2 linked regions of the Arabidopsis thaliana genome follow. The protein of the gene in region 2 interacts with the protein of the main gene of each other region in a pairwise test. Each region holds a gene or a part of one and is shown on either strand. Other genes may lie near its edges.

Evidence for each region. Proteins that work in one complex are often made in the same cells at the same time.
Region 1: the proteins of AT4G17720 (region 2) and RABA1d interact in a two-hybrid assay, tested with the Arabidopsis thaliana proteins (2 studies listed by BioGRID).

The regions. Positions count from the first base shown.
Region 1 is NC_003075.7:10,315,725-10,325,780, reverse strand, and holds RABA1d (RAB GTPase homolog A1D), read left to right. Parts: upstream 1-4,207; 5' UTR 4,208-4,441; coding exon 4,442-4,662; intron 4,663-5,201; coding exon 5,202-5,625; 3' UTR 5,626-5,919; downstream 5,920-10,056. Other genes in the region: AT4G18810 (NAD(P)-binding Rossmann-fold superfamily protein), read left to right, coding at 46-108, 214-444, 529-690, 787-837, 931-1,065, 1,162-1,185, 1,284-1,395, 1,476-1,601 and 9 more; NRAMP5 (NRAMP metal ion transporter family protein), read left to right, coding at 6,121-6,698, 6,827-6,963, 7,044-7,696, 7,772-7,996; IRX1 (cellulose synthase family protein), read left to right, coding at 9,062-9,239, 9,332-9,411, 9,495-9,546, 9,641-9,806, 9,890-10,056.
Region 2 is NC_003075.7:9,859,867-9,869,922, forward strand, and holds AT4G17720 (RNA-binding (RRM/RBD/RNP motifs) family protein), read right to left. Parts: upstream 4,798-10,056; 5' UTR 4,633-4,797; coding exon 4,627-4,632; intron 3,981-4,626; coding exon 3,877-3,980; intron 3,786-3,876; coding exon 3,710-3,785; intron 3,623-3,709; coding exon 3,542-3,622; intron 3,469-3,541; coding exon 2,794-3,468; 3' UTR 2,499-2,793; downstream 1-2,498. Other genes in the region: AT4G17713 (Putative membrane lipoprotein), read right to left, coding at 1-179, 294-342; AT4G17718 (Defensin-like (DEFL) family protein), read right to left, coding at 1,730-1,986, 2,081-2,129; SYP23 (syntaxin of plants 23), read left to right, coding at 5,485-5,684, 5,774-5,867, 5,950-6,089, 6,162-6,236, 6,318-6,475, 6,559-6,658, 6,830-6,851; AT4G17740 (Peptidase S41 family protein), read right to left, coding at 7,222-7,347, 7,450-7,543, 7,625-7,722, 7,822-7,930, 8,024-8,065, 8,142-8,217, 8,309-8,427, 8,499-8,567 and 5 more.

The DNA of each region.
Region 1 (10,056 bases), 460 kb from region 2:
AGATTTTTCCAGAATTCAATCTTTCGAGTGTTGTTGAATTCAGAAATGGAGGTTTCGTCTTCACTCAAGCTCTCATCGTCGTTATCTCCTTCCATCATCAAACTTCAGGTTAAGCATTTTCTCAGTTTTTTCTTATTAAATATGTCTGTTTTCTGAAACTGAGTCTGCAAAATTCTCAATAAATTTGAAGACTTTTCTGTTAATACTTTGCAGGGTTCTTCATCAAGTATTGATATAAAATTCTCTAAGTACACTTCACTTCCTAAACCGTTTCTTCAACTTGATGATAAAAGCCGACGTCTTCGTGACCAACAAGTTTCACATTCTCTCGAGCTAAGGTCTTACAGAAAACGGGTCACTGCGAAATCAGGTTCTCAAGGTTGGGACTTTGGTAGATTCGTCAAAACATTGTACTTTTTCAATGGACCACCATCTCCTCTAAAGGTATATATGAGGACTTTTGTTTGATTCTCATTGAGAGGTGTAATATAGTCATTTGAAGTAATTGATTGTTTCTTGCTTGTGAAGTTTGTTTCATCGGTGTTTGAGAAACTTACTAACGGAGCAACGGAGGAACCGGTTGCTGAAATGGGAACTTCTGGAATCATACTTGTGGCTGGAGCTACTGGTGGTGTAGGAAGAAGGATTGTTGATATCTTGAGGAAAAGAGGGTTGCCTGTTAAAGCATTGGTACTAAACTTTTCGATAGGTTTCTCTTTTCTTGTGTTTTAATTCTGATTTTGAAAATGTGGGCAAAGTCTTTAACTTTTTGGGGAATAATCATAGGTTAGAAATGAAGAGAAGGCTCGGAAGATGTTAGGACCTGAGATTGACTTGGTGAGTCCACTGAAATTTTCCACATTGTATTCTTGTTATTTTTATAGTTATAAGACCATTGATAACTATCTGCATATATTTCAATGTTGTCAGATTGTTGCAGATATTACAAAGGAGAATACATTGGTTCCTGAAAAGTTCAAAGGAGTGAGGAAAGTGATCAATGCTGTTTCTGTTATTGTTGGTCCAAAGGAAGGAGATACACCTGAGAGACAAAAATATAATCAGGTCGGTGAATTTTTCTGAATGGAATTTCTTAAAAGCTTTGAACTTTAGATTCTAGCTTTGAGAAATGACTCTGTTTGGATATTGGTTATAATGCAGGGAGTCAGGTTCTTCGAGCCAGAGGTACTGGGACTATAAGAACATTTCTTGAGTATTGTTTTGATGAATTTAGTGCTCAATGTTCAATAAAACTAAAACCTATAGATTTTGGTTATTCACAGATAAAAGGCGACTCTCCCGAGTTAGTGGAATACATTGGAATGAAGAACTTAATCAATGCTGTTAGAGATGGTGTTGGACTTGAGAATGGGAAGCTTATTTTTGGTGTCGGGGGTAAGTTGGGTCAAGGAACTTGATTAGGTTTCTATGAGTTGACATGGCATTATAAAAGACTTACCAATATATCTGTATAGATAACACGTTTAAGGATCTACCTTGGGGAGCATTGGATGATGTTGTAATGGGAGGTGTCAGCGAAAGTAACTTCATAGTAGATCTAACCGCTGGTGAAAACGGTGGACCTACCGGAATTTTTAAAGGTTTGATAAGATAACAACTCTATTTGCCATTTTCCTTCTCTTGGGGTTTTACTTATATAAGCATAACATGTTTTGTTAGGAATTGTTTCCACAACAAATAATGGCGGATTTACGAGTGTCCGAACCAAGGTAAAGGGTACGACTAAATGTCAGAATCTCTCCAAGCTTTTTTATCCTTCGTTATCTCACTGAAGCATGAGTCTTACACTTTTCTTCTAGAACTTTCCCGAGGCGGAGAATGTCTCTGCATATGATGGTCTAGAGCTAAGACTAAAAGGTGATGGACTCCGTTATAAGCTAATCGTCCGAACAAGCCAAGATTGGGATACTGTTGGTTACACCGCCAGTTTTGACACTTCACCAGGCCAATGGCAATCTGTAAGTAAAATCACTTTTGTCTTTCATTTTCGATATACTTTTGTGGGTAGATTAATTATAGTTCTGTTACTTTAAATCATAGGTACGCTTACCTTTCTCGTCTTTAAGACCTGTATTTCGCGCACGTACAGTTACAGATGCACCACCTTTTAATGCAAGCAGTATCATTTCACTACAGGTTTGTTTTCCTTTTTGTGTTAACCCTCTTAAAATTCCCATTCTAAATGTTTGATTAATAAGTTGGCTATTTTTCAGCTTATGTTTAGCAAATTTGAGTATGATGGTAAGCTTAACCCTACATTCAAAGAAGGACCTTTCGAGCTTCCTTTATCTAGCATTCGAGCTTATATCCAAGACCCCGTCACTCCAAGGTCTGATCTAGTTTCTTGCTTTTTAGAAACCAAACTCTTCACTAAATGCTGAACTAGCATTTCGTTACTTATCGTTACAGGTTTGTTCACGTTGGCTCTGCGGGAGTTACTCGACCAGAGAGACCCGGTTTGGATCTAAGCAAACAACCTCCGGCCGTGAGATTAAACAAAGAGCTTGATTTCATTCTCACTTACAAGTTAAAGGTTTGTCTCTCTATACTCTCTGCTTCGCAGAAAATTGGAAAAGTCATTTTCAAAAGATTTTAAAGCTCTTACTTTTGAATGACTAGGGAGAGGATCTGATACGCGACAGCGGGATTCCATTTGCAATTGTACGGCCATGTGCTTTAACAGAAGAGCCTGCCGGAGCTGATCTCATTTTCGAACAAGGAGACAACATTACGGTATTTTCAATTTCGCTTCTCCTTGAAATCCAACAACTCTTTAAGTTAACTAACCTAACCAACTTTACCTTTATATAGGGGAAGGTATCAAGAGACGAAGTAGCGCGTATATGCATCGCTGCTTTAGAAAGCCCGTATGCTCTTAACAAGACCTTCGAGGTTTTTAAAGAATCATCAATTTTTCGATTTTTCCGGGTTGCTATTCAAAAAGTTAAATTTCTGAATTGGGCTGTTTTGTGTGTTGTTTGTTTGTTTCAGGTTAAAAGTACGGTTCCGTTTAGCGAGCCTTTCACGGTAGATCCTGAGAATCCTCCACCGGAGAAAGACTACAATGAGTATTTCAAGACTCTGAAAGATGGAATCACCGGTAAAGAAGCTTTAGAACAGAGCACTGTTGCAGTTTAAACCAGGTTTTATCTACTTTTGTAACTGTGTGTTGTCTCATCTTCGTTAAAAATCTTTCCAAAAGTAAAAACAACAACAAAAGAGTCGTGTAGAAACATGTTTGTATACTCCATATATCGTACATTGTAGATAAGATTTACAAAAGCTTATTGACGACAACAATAAAGATTGTACCTTTTGATCCGTGGAGGTTCTTCAACAAGATTCTGAAATTTCTCTGCCATTTCTCTGTCTGTGAGAATTTTGCCTTGTGGTGTAAGAAAAGCAGTCCGTTGAAACGGTGGAGACCAGATACCGCTTGTCTGGTAATCAAACTGAAACTCAGACACGTCAATGTACTTCTGAAGAAGTTTGTCTGAAACTGGTTTTGTAACATTCTGAGTTAAAACAGAGGAAGAAGATGAAGATGTAGGTGGAGTTTCAGACATTTTTTAAAGAAAAGAAAAAGTAAAGAATCTAAATTTTGATAGGAGGGTTTCATGAGGAAAAGGGTTGATGGAGACTTTTATGGTAATGACAAAATAATGGATTTTTTGGCTAATAATGGAGGATGAGTGGAGAGGAGCACAGAACATTTGTCTATGTTCCTTTTTCACTCTTTTTTTTGTTTCTTTTCTTAATGTACAGATGCGTTTTTGGATTACATATTACATAATACACAAATCATTGAACTCTTTTCACATGGCAGCAGATATGTGAGTTTTTGCTAACCTCAAAGAATTTAGACAATACACACAACTACTATGTGATTAGCCCATATGGGCTTCCATTTTAGTGTGTGTTGAAACCCATTGGGTATATACAGAATCCACTAACTAGAAGATAGAGCTAGAAATGTTTCATTTTTGTTAGATCATCATTGAGAGTGACTGAAATATCGCCGTTTACCAATGTAACATGACCACCACCACTACTTTTTGACCTTTTCAAGAAAATGAAAGCATGTAACATATACATACAAAAGTTTAACGAAATGTCGGATCTACCCCTGATCTTAGGGAGTGAATCCGGGGTAGTTTAGTACATGTATACAAAATATTTCACCCAGAATCTATCGGTGATCATGGTCCAGCTAGAAAGACACCAGTCTTACCCTAACTTTTTTCAAAGTCTGTGTCTTTCTGTAGAAATCTGAGGAATAAATATTTGAATCTAAAGAGAATAAAGAAGAAAGTAAAAAAGCAAAATCGAAGTTTTGTTCAATTTTCTGGGATCATAGAGCAATTTTCGTTTCTTTATTCGTTGAAAGTGTGAAGCTTTTTTGATTCAGTGAGAAGTGTTAATGGCGGGTTACAGAGCAGATGATGATTACGATTACCTATTCAAGGTGGTTCTGATCGGTGATTCAGGTGTTGGAAAGTCCAATTTGCTTTCTCGATTCACCAGGAACGAGTTTAGTCTCGAGTCTAAATCAACGATCGGGGTCGAGTTCGCGACTCGTAGCTTGAATGTTAATGAAAAAGTCATCAAAGCCCAGATTTGGGACACTGCTGGTCAAGAAAGGTTTAAGCTCCGTCTCTTTGATTTTGTCTTCATTTGTTCATTTCTCGATCTGTGTTTTAGGTATTGGCCTTCTGATGCATTGTGGAGTCAATACAATTTCATTAGATCTGTCTTAGTTAATGGAATCAGTTTATCGTAGAGAAAGCTTGAGAAATCAACCTAACCTGTGATCGTGTATATAATTACTGGAGGTGAAGTGTACATTGTATTTGTGTATAATGAGAGAACTCAACAATTATGCTTAAAGTTACCAGCTTTGTAGAAATTCTGTTGTTTTGCTGATTAGTTTGATCAACCAGTGGTTGATGATAATCTTCGGTATCGTATATGTTCATGGTGTTTCTATATGTTCGTTAATTCTGATGACGATATCGATTTCTTTAATGATCGTTTTCTACCATTGAAGCTGAAGAGCTTATTGCTTTGAAGTCTTTCTTGTCATTTCGGTTCTTATTATGTTCCTATCTTTCTAATTTAACAGAGTTTCAATGACTAAGTCGTTAACGGGTTTTTGTTTCTCCTCTTTTCGCTATTTTTAGATACCGAGCAATCACTAGTGCTTACTATCGAGGAGCTGTTGGGGCGCTTCTTGTTTACGACGTAACCCGACACTCAACATTCGAAAACGTTGAGAGATGGCTAAGGGAACTCCGTGACCACACTGACCCAAACATAGTTGTGATGCTTGTGGGAAACAAATCCGATCTTCGCCATCTTGTAGCAGTCCAAACCGAAGATGCAAAATCTTTTGCAGAGAATGAATCACTCTACTTCATGGAAACCTCAGCTCTTGAATCTACCAATGTTGAGAACGCGTTTTCTGAAGTACTCACTCAGATTTACCATGTTGTGAGCAAGAAAGCAATGGAGGCTGGTGAAGATTCCGGTAATGTTCCTTCGAAAGGAGAGAAGATCGATGTTGATGTTTCCGCAGTGAAGAAAACTGGTTGCTGCTCCAACTAAATGGTCTTATGTCCTAAAGCTGAAATCGGTTTTTAAATTTTACATTCAAATTTTGTTTTTGAAGATGTTTGCTTTTTTTTAGGAAAACAAACTATGTTATGCCTTTTGATTTGCTTGTTTGAAAATTGCTTAGCTTTGGTCTGATTCTGTACCGGTTAAGGGATTTTGTAATTTAACCGGTTCTGGTCTATGGTTTGTTTTTAATTCAATCCGCAAATATCTCTAAACCAATATTTATTGTGCTAATCCTTGAACACAACTAATTTTTGTTATACCAATTTAGAAAATTTTCGTCAAAAAAATAGAGATCACAATTCAGTTTCTAATAATAGAAACTTTTAATAACAGTTCATTTTTAGAATTTGCTTTTGTTTTCTCATTTGACTATTCTTGACTTTAATTTTAATTTTATCAAAATAATCCATGTAATCTTTTAAAATTTTCTTAAAACAAATCACGTCGTCAGTAACGCCGAAAGAATATTCCGTTACTAAGATGACGGGATCCACCGTTTCCCGCCAAGAAAACAGCCCTAAGAGACCAAACGACAGTAACGGCGAATTCAAACGTCTATTAGTTCCCGAAACCTCTCAGCCAGAGGAGGACGAGCTTCACGAATCGCCACCGGAGAATCAGATCCTGAACGTAGAAGAAGACAGAGACAAAACCTACGATTCAGTTCCGCCATTCTCATGGGCAAAGCTATGGAAATTCACCGGACCTGGATTTCTCATGAGCATCGCGTTTCTAGATCCAGGAAATATCGAAGGAGATTTACAAGCCGGAGCTGTGGCTGGTTACTCTCTCCTATGGCTTCTTCTATGGGCGACGCTAATGGGACTTCTGATGCAGCTTCTCTCTGCTCGTATCGGTGTCGCCACGGGTCGACATTTAGCGGAGATTTGTCGAAGTGAGTATCCTTCGTGGGCGCGAATCTTGCTTTGGTTCATGGCGGAGGTTGCTTTGATCGGAGCTGATATTCAAGAAGTCATCGGAAGCGCGATCGCTCTTCAGATTTTGACTCGAGGGTTTTTACCTATTTGGGTTGGTGTTATCATCACATCATTTGATTGGTAAGCAAAACTAGGTCTTTGGCTTAGAACGCCTTTAGGATCACCTGAGTTATTAAAAAACAAAATAGGTCTTTTTGCGGTGTTGTTTGTAACACAAGTTTTGATTTGTGTTGTTTGTGAAAAAACAGCTTCTTGATTTCGTATTTGGAGAAATGTGGAATGAGGAAATTAGAAGGTCTTTTCGCGGTTTTGATTGCGACAATGGCGCTTTCGTTCGCTTGGATGTTTAATGAAACTAAGCCAAGTGTTGAAGAACTATTCATAGGTAAGTTTGTAAGATTAAGCATTGTCTCTTATTTGATGTCATTTCTTGATTTGGTTTTATCTTGATGATGATTTTGAAAGGTATTATTATTCCGAAACTCGGATCAAAGACGATTAGAGAAGCTGTTGGAGTTGTGGGATGTGTAATAACGCCTCACAATGTGTTCTTGCATTCAGCTTTAGTGCAGTCTAGGAAGACGGATCCAAAGGAGATAAACAGAGTTCAAGAAGCTCTTAACTACTATACAATCGAATCGTCAGCCGCGCTTTTTGTTTCGTTCATGATCAATTTGTTTGTAACTGCGGTTTTCGCGAAAGGGTTTTATGGAACCAAACAAGCTGATAGTATAGGACTGGTTAACGCGGGATATTACCTACAAGAGAAATATGGCGGTGGTGTTTTCCCGATACTATACATTTGGGGGATTGGTTTATTAGCTGCTGGACAAAGCAGTACTATAACCGGGACTTATGCTGGACAGTTTATAATGGAAGGGTTCTTAGATCTTCAAATGGAACAATGGCTATCAGCTTTTATAACGAGAAGCTTTGCTATTGTACCTACTATGTTTGTTGCTATTATGTTTAACACATCCGAGGGCTCGCTCGATGTTTTAAACGAATGGCTTAACATTCTTCAGTCGATGCAGATTCCTTTCGCGGTTATTCCTCTTTTGACTATGGTTTCTAATGAACATATCATGGGTGTCTTCAAGATCGGACCTTCGCTTGAGGTAAAGCAATTTTTTGTCATCTCTCTTTATTGTTATGTGCTTTTGATTGTAACGAGTTAGTTGGGATCTTTGCAGAAGCTAGCTTGGACTGTGGCGGTGTTTGTGATGATGATAAATGGGTATCTTCTTCTAGATTTCTTCATGGCTGAAGTGGAAGGGTTTCTTGTTGGGTTTCTGGTTTTTGGTGGAGTAGTTGGATACATCAGTTTCATCATCTATCTTGTTTCTTATAGAAGCTCACAATCTTCTTCCTGGTCGAGTTTAGAAATGTCAGAGAGAGTTGTTTCCACAGAGACGTAGAAACCCATAACTTTAGTATTCTTCAACCCTTACAACTTATCTGAGCAAAATCAGAAGGTCGAATTTGATGGATGGTTTTGCTGTATTTGGTCAACGGTTTTATTTGAGACAGTAGACCAGAGGAAACTCAGATGTGATGATGCAAAGACTGAATTGGTTAAGAGTGTAGATTGATTTGTTCTAACATTGCAAATGTAGAGTAGAATTATGCAAAAAACGTTAATGAACAGAGAAGTGATTAAGCAGAAACAAAATTAGAGAAGTGATATTATATCTCAAAATTTATTTTTGGTACAGCTAAAGCTCAAATTGTTATAGAGATTAGAGATATTAAACCAAATGACGAGTGTTTTCTTTAGTAGTAAACGGTGAAAATTCTCTTCTGACAAAGACAATTAAAATTTTAGGTTTAAGACTTTAATATTTGTCACAAATTGTCATTTACCTAAATAAAAAAAAAACTAAATATTTTTTTTAGATACATATGTGTCTTATAATTTTAACTATAAATTTTAATTTTATGTCTTAAATAATTGTTTACACTATAAATTTAAATATTTTAATGCTAAAATTAATTTGATTCAAAAAAGTGATTTTAATTCTTATTTTTCTTATAGAAAGTTGGTGATTGAAAAGATTTACTTAAAAATTATAACAACTTCAATGGTGAATAACCCGACCCGAATAAACCGGATATAACAACTTCAATGTTAGCTTGATATAGAAAGTACGGTGACGCTTAGGAGGCAAGCAAGCTAGTATCTGCCGCTGGTTAGAGACAAAGAACATGTGTCACTCCTCTCAACTAAAACTTTCCTTCACTTTCCCGCAAAATCATTTCAAAAAAGCTCCAAATTTAGCTTACCCATCAGCTTTCTCAGAAAACCAGTGAAAGAAACTTCTCAACTTCCGATTTTTCACAATCCACCAAACTTTTTTTAATAACTTTTTTTCCTCTTATTACAAAACCTCCACTCTCATGGCTTCTCAAACTTGTTATCCATCCAAATCTCAATCCCTAATTAGGGTTCATTTCTCTGTTTCTCCAAACAGGGGAATTCGAAGATGATGGAGTCTAGGTCTCCCATCTGCAACACTTGTGGTGAAGAGATTGGTGTAAAATCAAACGGAGAGTTCTTTGTGGCTTGTCATGAGTGTAGTTTCCCGATCTGCAAAGCTTGTCTTGAGTATGAATTCAAAGAAGGTCGAAGAATTTGCTTGCGTTGCGGCAATCCTTACGATGGTACAATTATAAATTTACAAACTTTATTCGAAAGTTTGATTTTTTGGTTAAAGAGTATTTATAACTTGTTTTGTTTTGTTTTGCTTTCATAGAGAATGTGTTTGATGATGTTGAGACAAAGACATCTAAAACTCAATCCATTGTTCCAACACAGACCAATAACACTTCTCAGGTTTGTGTGCTTAGCTAAGATTAGTTGCTTTTATGTCTTAATTAGATTTTACAAATTTGAGAACATTATCTTGACTTTTTCAGGATTCAGGGATTCATGCTAGACATATAAGTACAGTCTCAACAATAGACAGTGGTAAGAACTAAGAAACAAAGCCAAAATCTTTGTATACATTTGGTGAGGTTATTAATAGTTTAACTAACTTGGGGATTGTTGTTTCTTCCTGAAGAACTGAATGATGAATATGGCAATCCAATTTGGAAGAACAGAGTGGAGAGCTGGAAAGACAAGAAAGACAAGAAGAGCAAGAAGAAGAAGAAAGATCCAAAAGCAACAAAAGCTGAACAACATGAGGCTCAGATTCCTACCCAACAGCACATGGAAGATACGCCACCGTAAGCACATCCTCGTACTAATCTAATAACATTCACCAAAAAGTTTGAGACGTTGATTTGGTCTCTGCCGTTTGTATTCTCAGGAACACAGAATCTGGTGCTACAGATGTGCTTTCGGTTGTGATTCCTATCCCAAGGACAAAAATCACTTCATATAGGATTGTCATCATCATGCGGTTGATCATCTTGGCTCTGTTTTTTAACTACCGTATCACGCATCCTGTCGATAGCGCTTACGGTTTATGGCTAA
Region 2 (10,056 bases):
ATGGTCAATGCAAGATTGAACATTACACCTCGGTGACCTCGTGTTAAGCGATATCGCACGGATGTATCTTTCATCAAGGCATTGACACTTGTTCTGCTCACACTTGATATTCTTCGTTGCACATTTTAGATTAGTACAATCAGAGTCATTGTTGCAAGATTGTGCCAGAATTTGTGTGCCTATGAGATTAAATATGTTATTGATCATGAATTCATGATGATATATAATATAGATGAGGAAGAAGAAGATGGCGATGAATGTAACTAAACATATTATCCAAAAAAATTACGTACATGTTGAGAAAAGTAGAAGACCGATAAATATCAAAGCTGCTTTCTCCATTTTTATTGAATAAGTTTGTATCTTTCTCTTGTGTTTTGAGTTGTTTGTGTGACTAAAACTGGAGGATTTGGAGAGTATTTATAATTTGGTTTTCTTCCCCAGCAAGCAATTGTTTTGCTAATTTACTGGTTAATGTTTTGGTAAATACGTTACTTACTTCATGTAATAAGATTTTATACCAAATTTGTTTCAGAATGAGTGAAAAATTACCTAGTTTGATGTTTCTAATCAAGGTAGTAAATTGGAAATTCATTATTTTTCTTTTTGCCAGCGATAACATTTGATCTTCTATATTTACATTTTGAGAGTGCATTTATTTAATCGATTCGTTACTCAAATATTCGTTACTCAAATAGTTACCAAAAATCTCGGTAAACAATTTTATAATATCTTGATAATTAAATCATTGACGAAGAACTTTGAAGTACAGTAAAACCTCTATAAATTAATAAAGTTGGGACTACAAAATTTTATTAATTTAGAGAGGTATTAATTTATAGATAATAGAGAAATTTTCCTAATTTGGTAATGTTTTAAAAATTTCTATAAGATTTCTTTCATTATAGAAAATATATTTATAGAACCATTTACAAGTAAAACATAATAATAATGTCTAAAAAACAACATCAAAAGTTTTGATACAGTAAAATATGAAAACTATAATCAAACAAAGAATAAATATGAATTTAAGCAAAAAAAATATTATAAATATATTTTAGAGAATTTTTTTTACATATAATATATATATATATATATATATATATATAGTTGATACATTTATACAATTATTAATTTATGATATTGATGGGACCATATATTTACATAGATTTCAAAAAAATTATTATCTTATTAATTTATCGATTTTTGTCACTTTTTATACTGGTCTCAACTCAGAACCGGAAGAATTTATTAATTTATAGAGGTTATTAATTTATAGAGTATTAATTTATAGAGGTTATATTGTATAAGGTTTTACGGATTTATTCCAAATTTTTACTAAATTTTTGCCGGATTGTCATGATATTTTTGTTGAACTGATTTTTATCTCGACTGAACTACAATTATTGTTGTTTCTTTAATTTCCATAGAGAAATATATTTTTAATGAATATCTAATATTTATGTAAAACAAGTATAATTTAGGACACTAACAAACCTGATAAAATATCAATTTAACTTGTCTTATGTTCATAAACGATTAAGTACACAAAATATACAAATGAATCTAACAAATAAGTGAAAGAAAAACATTCAAACTATAAGTTTAATTTTCAGTCAAATGTCCAAACATAAACTATAGTAATTAAATGATATTATCGATATTCAAAAGATATTAATAGTGATAAAATTAGATATTTGAAAACCTTATGCGCAAAAACTTAATAAAATTACATGGGAGGTTTGTAAGAGTAACAATGGTTTAAGATACATGCATAAACAATTTCACCTTTTGCCTTGCAATAGTCAATGCAGGCAGCCACACCATAATTGGTATCATTCGGTAATGTCATGAGTTCTTTAAAGGGGCATTCACAACTACCGCTAATACATTTGGGGCCACCAAATGGCGTTGGACATTTGAGTTTAACACAGTCAGAATTCGTCTTGCAAGATACATATCCAGTTCGTGCCATAATCGATGTACCTGCTAAAAATCACCGAAATGATTTATAGAAACGCTCATGACATGATAAGGATGATGAATACAATTGGTACATAAATTTAGTTGTGAAACTCACATGTTGAAAAAAGTAGAATACCGATGAATATCAAAGCTGACTTCTCCATTTTTTTCTGTGCTCTTTTCTATTTGTATAATTTTGATATTGTTTGCACAATTAAGATGATGTGTTTACAAACAATATATAATTGTGAGAAAACGAATTGTCTTTTTCCTTTTATACCATGAATAAATCTGTTCTTTTTTCACTTGAGAACAAAATATTTTGATAAATGCGTTTAACTGGTCGAGATTTTATTCCTTTAGTTTTGTCAAATGTCAATATATACATTTATTCTTAATTGATACTTCTTTGAATTTAAAGTGCTTAAAATCTTCTTATAATTAGAGTTCTTAGATCACCGACAAAGCGTTTCCTGTCAAATGTGTTTGTAACATCTACTTTGGTTTGTTACTTTCAGTTACATAAAATCACTTGACGGGCTAATTGCTCTAATCAAATTTTTGATTTTAAAATAAAAATCGATCGGTATTTGGTTCAGTTAACCATGATGATTAGCCCGGTTTAAATAAGTTTAAGAAAAACGAAAAGAACAAAATTGTTTTCTTTTTAAGGTCTAATTACCAAATCGACCATGAATCCAATGTTACAAGAACACAAGTCTTCGTCCTAAATAACAAGTTCAATCTTCATCTTCAACAATCTGAGAGAGATTAGTTCCAAGTTTTACCGTTTACAACAAGAATCAGAAAGGTCTTTGATTGCATATCTCAAGGTTGAGCCGGAGCAGGAGCTGAAGCCATAGGTGGAGGAGATTGTTGCTGCAATGGTTTCGATTGTGGCTCAAGATGTTCAGAATCTTTCTTTGCTTCAGGAGATTCAGAGAGTTTTGATTCACGTTCGGCTTCTTGCGTTGATGAAGCTGCCTTTGGTGATTCAGACAAGTGAACTCTAGCAAACTCATCAACCACTTTCCTCTTATCCTCTTCCTCAGCCATACCAACTTTCTCTTTAGCCTTTTGTCCAACTTCTTCTGCAGCTTTAGCAACTTTGTTGAATGCTCCAGTAACCCACGTGGCACCTGTGAGAACATACCGGTTCTTCATTATAGCTGAACCTGCATTGCTCACTGTCTGCTCCGCTGCAGCGATTGCTGATTTGGTTTTCTCTGAGACTTGGTACTTCTGATCAACTTCCCTGACCTTTTCTCCCACTACCACCGTGCCTGTGTTGATCTTATCAGTGAAACCAATTTTCTTGTCAAAAGATGCGACTTTGGCTGATGCTGTAGATGTTAGCTGGTGCTTCTCGTCAACACTTTTGGCTTTAGCTATGGCATCTTTTCCCAGGATAAAGCCCTTTGCAAGCATGCTGCTCACAACATCTTCGGCTTTTCTCAACACGGAGTCACCTGCCTTGGGAGATTTATTGCTGTCCTTGGGTTCCTGTGAAAAAGATGAAATGGTAAGATTTTAACTTGTGAAAAAACTCAGAAGAGATGATGAATTACGAGCTTACCAAGGAAGCTAAAGCCTCAGGGGACAGTTGGTAATCAGGAGCCATAGAGACAATGACTGAAGAATCAACAATCGTTGCTCCCTGAAATGAAAGAATTACATTAATACTCAGTCACTCAAAGGATACAGTCATATAGAGGAACTAATACAGGCTAAGAAGTAAAAATACCGAGAGAAGAACCGCAGTTTCAGCTCCTTGTAGATCCTTAAAAGTGACATATGCCAGTTTAGTCCGCTCAGTCTCGCTGTACAAACATGTCAAAAGAGTTAAGAACCTGACGAACTAAAAGCTGTAATCTAAAACTTTCAAAAGGAACAATAGAGAGGAAACCAAACCTCTGCGTCTCAAGGTACAGAATATCGCCAGAAAAGGAAAAGAACTCCTTGAGATCTCTATCGGTTGCTCCTAGAGAAACATTGCTCACTTTAACTGTTGTCATCTGCAAGTGAAATATAATCTCGTGTGACTTAAAAACTAAAATTTCAAACCATTTCACCAGCTAAACAAAATCTCAGACTTATTCATTAGTTGTTCGATTACACATTTCTCGATTCCTTATCGCCTAAAACAATGACTAAACACACACACACACACTCCTAAAGCAACCAATATTATCAATACAATGATCAGAAAACACAGAAACATTGCATCATCAATACAAGAAGATAAAAAGAACCTCAGAATCTAGGAAAAGCAAATACTTGTCTCAAAACTAATCCTATGGCACAGATCAGATATTAACAGATTACAAAACAAAACAAATGCTAAAGTGAATATCCTAATCCAAACAAAAGCAATTTTACCCTAAAAAAAAATTTCTTCATATCAGAAACAGTAATTTTCACCCAAATCAAAAACAGAGAACAGCTTCAAATCCTCTAAAATAAAAAAACTAGCGATTCTTCACTAATAATCAACGCCATTTCTCGCAAAACAAATTAGAAAACAACAATCAAAATCAACAGATCTGTTCACATCTTCCTCAATCAAATCAACAGCAAAAACATCGACCTTTCTCAGGATAAATCCAAAACAAAAACCAAAACTAACTAGTTTCAAAAAGCGAAGAGATTAGATAAGCTCACCGTCATGAAGAAAATCGCGTTGACGCGGATTGAAATGGAAGATTGTTTTTCCTTCACACAGGAGGAACAATATTTGAAACGAAACGAAACGAAAAATCAAAGGAAAGAAAAATCTCTGGTCGCGGATTTGATGTGAAGAAGAGTGAAAAATAAAAGAAAAAAGTGGGACCTGATTTTAAACGCCTTGGAAAAACGAGTCTTATTCGGGTTTGGCACGTGATATGGTCGGAACCTTCTCACGTGCGATGATTAAAAAAGAGTCCTAATTTTAAACTTCTTTTGCTTTTGACCCTTTTTAGTCACGTAAAGTTCTATCTAGAGATTTTATTCATTAAATTCTGGACTAATCTATCATAATCCTTAATCTAATTCTAATTAATCCGTAATCTGTTAGTATCTTGGTTAAAATAATCAATTAACGTCGTGACATAATCACTTTCTCCACCAATGTCTACCATCCACGTGTCCTGAGCTCAGAGCAATGTAATCATCGTAGACCATTTATCACTTTATAATAAAAGGAGGATATACCGTTAAGATTCTAAACTATAGAGTCACGTTTGGAATATTATAGAAAAGTTAAGGATCAAAAAATGAAAAAAGTACAAGCTTTTTCCGTTCATACAGGTAATGTGACATTTCACGTTTTGCTCAATCTCTCTCTCCGCGGTTCACGTTTTTTCTCAATCTGTCCGGAGAGAGAGAAACTCACCGGGGAATCTTGAAATCACCATCACATCCTCTCTTCCCTCGATCTCCGTTATCGACTGTAAATCGAATTTTGTTGTTGCTTTGTTTTCTTGGGCGAATAAAAGAGGATAATTTAGTGGCGGGGTTTTCGAGAAAGAGAGAGAAAGAATGAGTTTTCAAGATTTAGAGGCGGGAAGAGGAAGATCATTAGCTTCTTCAAGGAACATCAATGGTGGTGGTAGTAGACAAGACACGACTCAAGATGTTGCTTCTGGTATATTTCAGATCAATACAAGTGTTTCCACTTTCCATCGTCTTGTCAATACTCTTGGTACTCCTAAAGATACGCCTGAGCTCAGAGAGAAGCTGTAAGTACTTCTCAAAGTTAAAGTTATCTCCTTTTTGAGTTTTAGGGTACTTGAAATTGTTTCTAATTGAGTCAATTTGCTTGTTTTAGGCATAAGACAAGATTATATATTGGACAGTTAGTGAAAGATACATCAGCTAAACTTAAAGAAGCTAGTGAAACTGATCATCAAAGAGGTGTAAATGTGAGTCATTTATGATAAAGGAAGATTCTTGTTCTTCTTCTGCTACTTCTGTTGATTAATAGGAATTTGATTGGTTGGTTAGCAAAAGAAGAAGATTGTGGATGCTAAGCTTGCAAAGGACTTTCAAGCTGTGTTGAAAGAGTTTCAAAAGGCTCAGCGTCTTGCTGCTGAAAGAGAAACCGTATATGCTCCTCTTGTCCACAAGCCATCTCTTCCCTCAAGGTTAATGCTCATTGATGGTTTATGTTTACTTTTGTGGTTTTGTGTATTGATTTCCTGGCTTTGGTAATGTAGCTACACATCCAGTGAGATAGATGTGAATGGAGATAAGCATCCAGAGCAGCGTGCCCTTCTTGTGGAATCAAAAAGGTTAGTTTATACAGACAATGGTGTCCATCTTTGTTCGGTTGATGAGTTATCTATTGATTGGTTTGTTGTTTTTTGTTGCAGACAAGAACTTGTACTGTTGGACAATGAGATTGCGTTCAATGAGGCTGTTATTGAGGAAAGAGAGCAAGGGATACAAGAAATTCAGCAGCAAATTGGCGAGGTGCACGAGATCTTCAAAGACTTGGCAGTGTTGGTGCACGATCAAGGAAACATGATAGGTAAAACTGATTCCAACTCTTGTTATGCTAAAACTCTCACTTATGTCTTCAAAACCTAAGACGTAAGACCTATTTTTGTGTAGATGATATTGGTACTCACATCGATAACTCTTACGCTGCAACTGCCCAAGGAAAATCCCATCTCGTAAGGCATCAAAGACACAAAGATCAAATTCTTCTCTGGTAATATATTAAAGCTTTTGATCGTACCATGAAATGTGTTTTTGAGGATTTTGGATGATCAGATCAGCCTACTAACTTCTTCTTTCCATTGTTTTTTCTTTTTCTTGTAGACGTGCTTGCTCTTGGTGATTTTTGGTATCGTGCTCATGATTGTTATTATAGTGCTCGCAGTTTGATTTCCCCAAGCTCATAAAAGCATGGACAAGTGCTTCATCATCAATCAAGAAGCATCAATGAGTATATGTTTGTCACGACTCTCTTTGTTCCTACAATTTAGTCTGTTGGACTATTGGTCTCTTGTTTCTTGTTATCGAGTATATAGAGTAGTTCACTTTGGTTTGATTTGGCTTGTGTTTGCTGAGTCTTGGTTCTGAAGGAGAGAGTGTTACTGCTTTGTCTCTGTAATATAACTTGGTTCTGAAGGAAAATCCTCTGTTTGTGTTCTTAAATGTGAAATTTCTGGTTTCGATTAGCTAAAGCTATGGCGAATCTTCAAAAGTACAAAGCTTGAGTCAATAAATTTTAGTCATATGTTGTCAGAACAAAGTTTGAACAAAACAAAATCATCTAGAAAAAAGTAGGCCTTGATTGAGATAACAAGCAGCTGTAGGATCCTTAAGGCATCCACAGAACGCCTCTTCATCTTTCGGAAACGACTTTGGCAATGGATGATCAGGAGTTACACCGACCTATACAACAACCAGCAACGAGTCAAGACTGTAAGAACATGTTTGTATGTAGTGTAGTGTAGACACAGAGGGGGTTACTACAGGAAGAAAGTAGTTTCATACTTTGTCTATATCTGTGTGAGCTGGTGTTTCATATCGAGCAACTGTTACTGCCAAGCCCGAACCATCAGAAAGCTCAAAAACCGACTGTATCTTGCTGCAAAATGCGTTAAAGTCTCAGGAATTTTACGGTTCGGTCTCTGAGAAGAAGAATAAAAAATAGCGCCATTTTGTTTACCCTTTTCCGTAAGTTGGTTCTCCATAAACCAGAGCACGTTTATTATCTTTCAAGGCACCTGCTAATATCTCGCTGGCACTCGCGGTGCCTTTGTTAACCTGGAAAAGAGAAAGATTGTGTGAGAATGAAATCTTTCATGGCATTTACAGATTACAATAAGGACTAGATTTGAGGAAAGGAAGGATGGAAGCTCATACAAGAACGGCAAGAGGCTCAGAGGTTGCTATAGCATTGCTTCCATCAGTATCATATATATCTCTAACACCTCGACTATCGCAAATATACACAATCACTCCTTTATCTAACCTGTGGATAGCAAATGTTGAAGTTTCTATTATGATAGCTGTGGATCTTGAAATTTTCTAATTCGTTATATGTAACGGTTTATGAGGTTATTACCAAAATTTAGCAATCTCAATTCCTTCTGGGAAAGAACCTCCACTGCAGCAAGAACAATTTTTTTAAGAAAGGCTGTTGCAAAAGCAAAAAAGAGTTTATGTTCTCAAAAAATCATCACCTATTGTCTCGAAGGTCCAAGACGAATGCGTTTACATTGTTGCCTCTCAAGGTTTCAATAGCTTCCCTTACCGCACCTACAAAAAAAGTGTTAAGACTTTGAGAGATAATAAACTAGAGAGTAGATAAATTTGTAAGAAGGAATCAGTAATGCCAAAGAATACATACTAGAAGCATTTTGATTGAATGTTGTTAGCTTGATATAGCCAATCTTAGGGGAGTTACTCCCAGAACCAGGAAGTTCACATAATCTTGACTTCACTGGATTCACAGAAACCCGCTCTCGCCTGAAATAACAACAATTGTAGTTACCAAATGAACGTGACAACGAAGATAAATGTAGGCATGAGAGAAATACGTCAAAGTTAAGAGTCTCGTTTCAGGTCCACTGCGAATCGCTAGCTCCACTGCACTTCCTTCAGGTCCCCTGCATTTCAACCAAAGCATTATCATCATTTCTTACTTCAGAACCATTAACTCGTCACACTTAGATTTTTCAAAGTTAAGGAATGATGAAAAATGGAAATGTAACTCACTGCAACATCTGTGCAGCATCGTATATGGTAAGAGTTTCTGTGGTTGTATTATCAATTCCTTGAATAACATCGCCAGGTAATATCCCCGCCCTATTTGCAGGACCTCCTGGAGCAGCTGATATAACAACAAGCCCAGCTGGTGGTCCATCTGATGCAGTGGGGTAACCTATCGACAGCCCAACACCCGTAACCGCCCCTTGAGTCCCCGACTGCCTTCAACCAAACCATTTAATTACTAGATCTTACATACAGTCTATTTGCTAAATTCAGAACTGTATATTTTCAGGAAATCTTACCCGCAAACTCTTGAACTTTCCGGGCTCCAAGAATCGAGTAAAAGGATCATCTAGTGTTGCCACCATTTTCTTGATAGCCATGTCTAAACACAAACCAACACCAAATTTAGAAGCAAGTTGTACTAATTTTGTAAAAGGTTAATAAAGCTATTCACACATACATGTCTCTTCTCGAGTGTTCATAGGCTCATTTCGTAAAGCAGTCTCTCTGTAACGAAACCAGCTTTGTCCATTAAAGGTTTTATCAATATAAGCACGATCAATTGTTCTCCAAGCCTCGAGGAAGAGAAGATTCTCTTCAGTAAGACCCCCTAAAGAGACAGAGAAAAAAAGCCACACAAATGAAATCAAATTGCATTCCCCGAAATTTATATGGTTTCTCAACATGTAAAAAAAACAGAACTTACATGATGGTGGTGAATCAGTGGTAACAACAGAAATGGAAGAGACAAGCAGAACAGAAACGATCCGAACTAATGCAACAGAGAGATTCTGTCTGAAATTAACAGAAGATTTCATCATAACCTTCCCAGATAATTTCCTCTGATCATTTCTTTCGATAACACACAGAAATCTATTACAGACGAACACGACTCCTGGGTTTGCTGCATTGCTCCTTGAAATGTTACTACGACTACGAGCATAACTAAATTTGCTAGCTTTTGAAATCTTTGGAGGTTGTTTTACCCACAATTTCACCTGCAAAGGTTGAAAATTCTATTACACAGCTAAACGGACACAAATTGGGGAATTGCAGGAGAGAAACTTAAAAAGGAGTCAACTATACGAAAGAAAAGTACCTGGATTGAGAAATTAGGGTTTATTTTGTTAGGCTTAGTAAAAGAAATTGGGGATAATGAAGAGCTCGCAAGGACCTCCATTGAAAAGAGCTTCCCCGGGAAAATTCCAACTCTGTTTTTCTTATCGAAAAAGGACTACAAATATGATTGGACAAAGTAGTCACTTTCTACAATAAATTAGAAAAAATGGCATTTTCTTTTTAATAATAAATACAACTCTTCTATTATCCAAGGAAAGATTTCTGCACAAAGTTGCAACCGTACTACTGAGTCCTAACGATAAT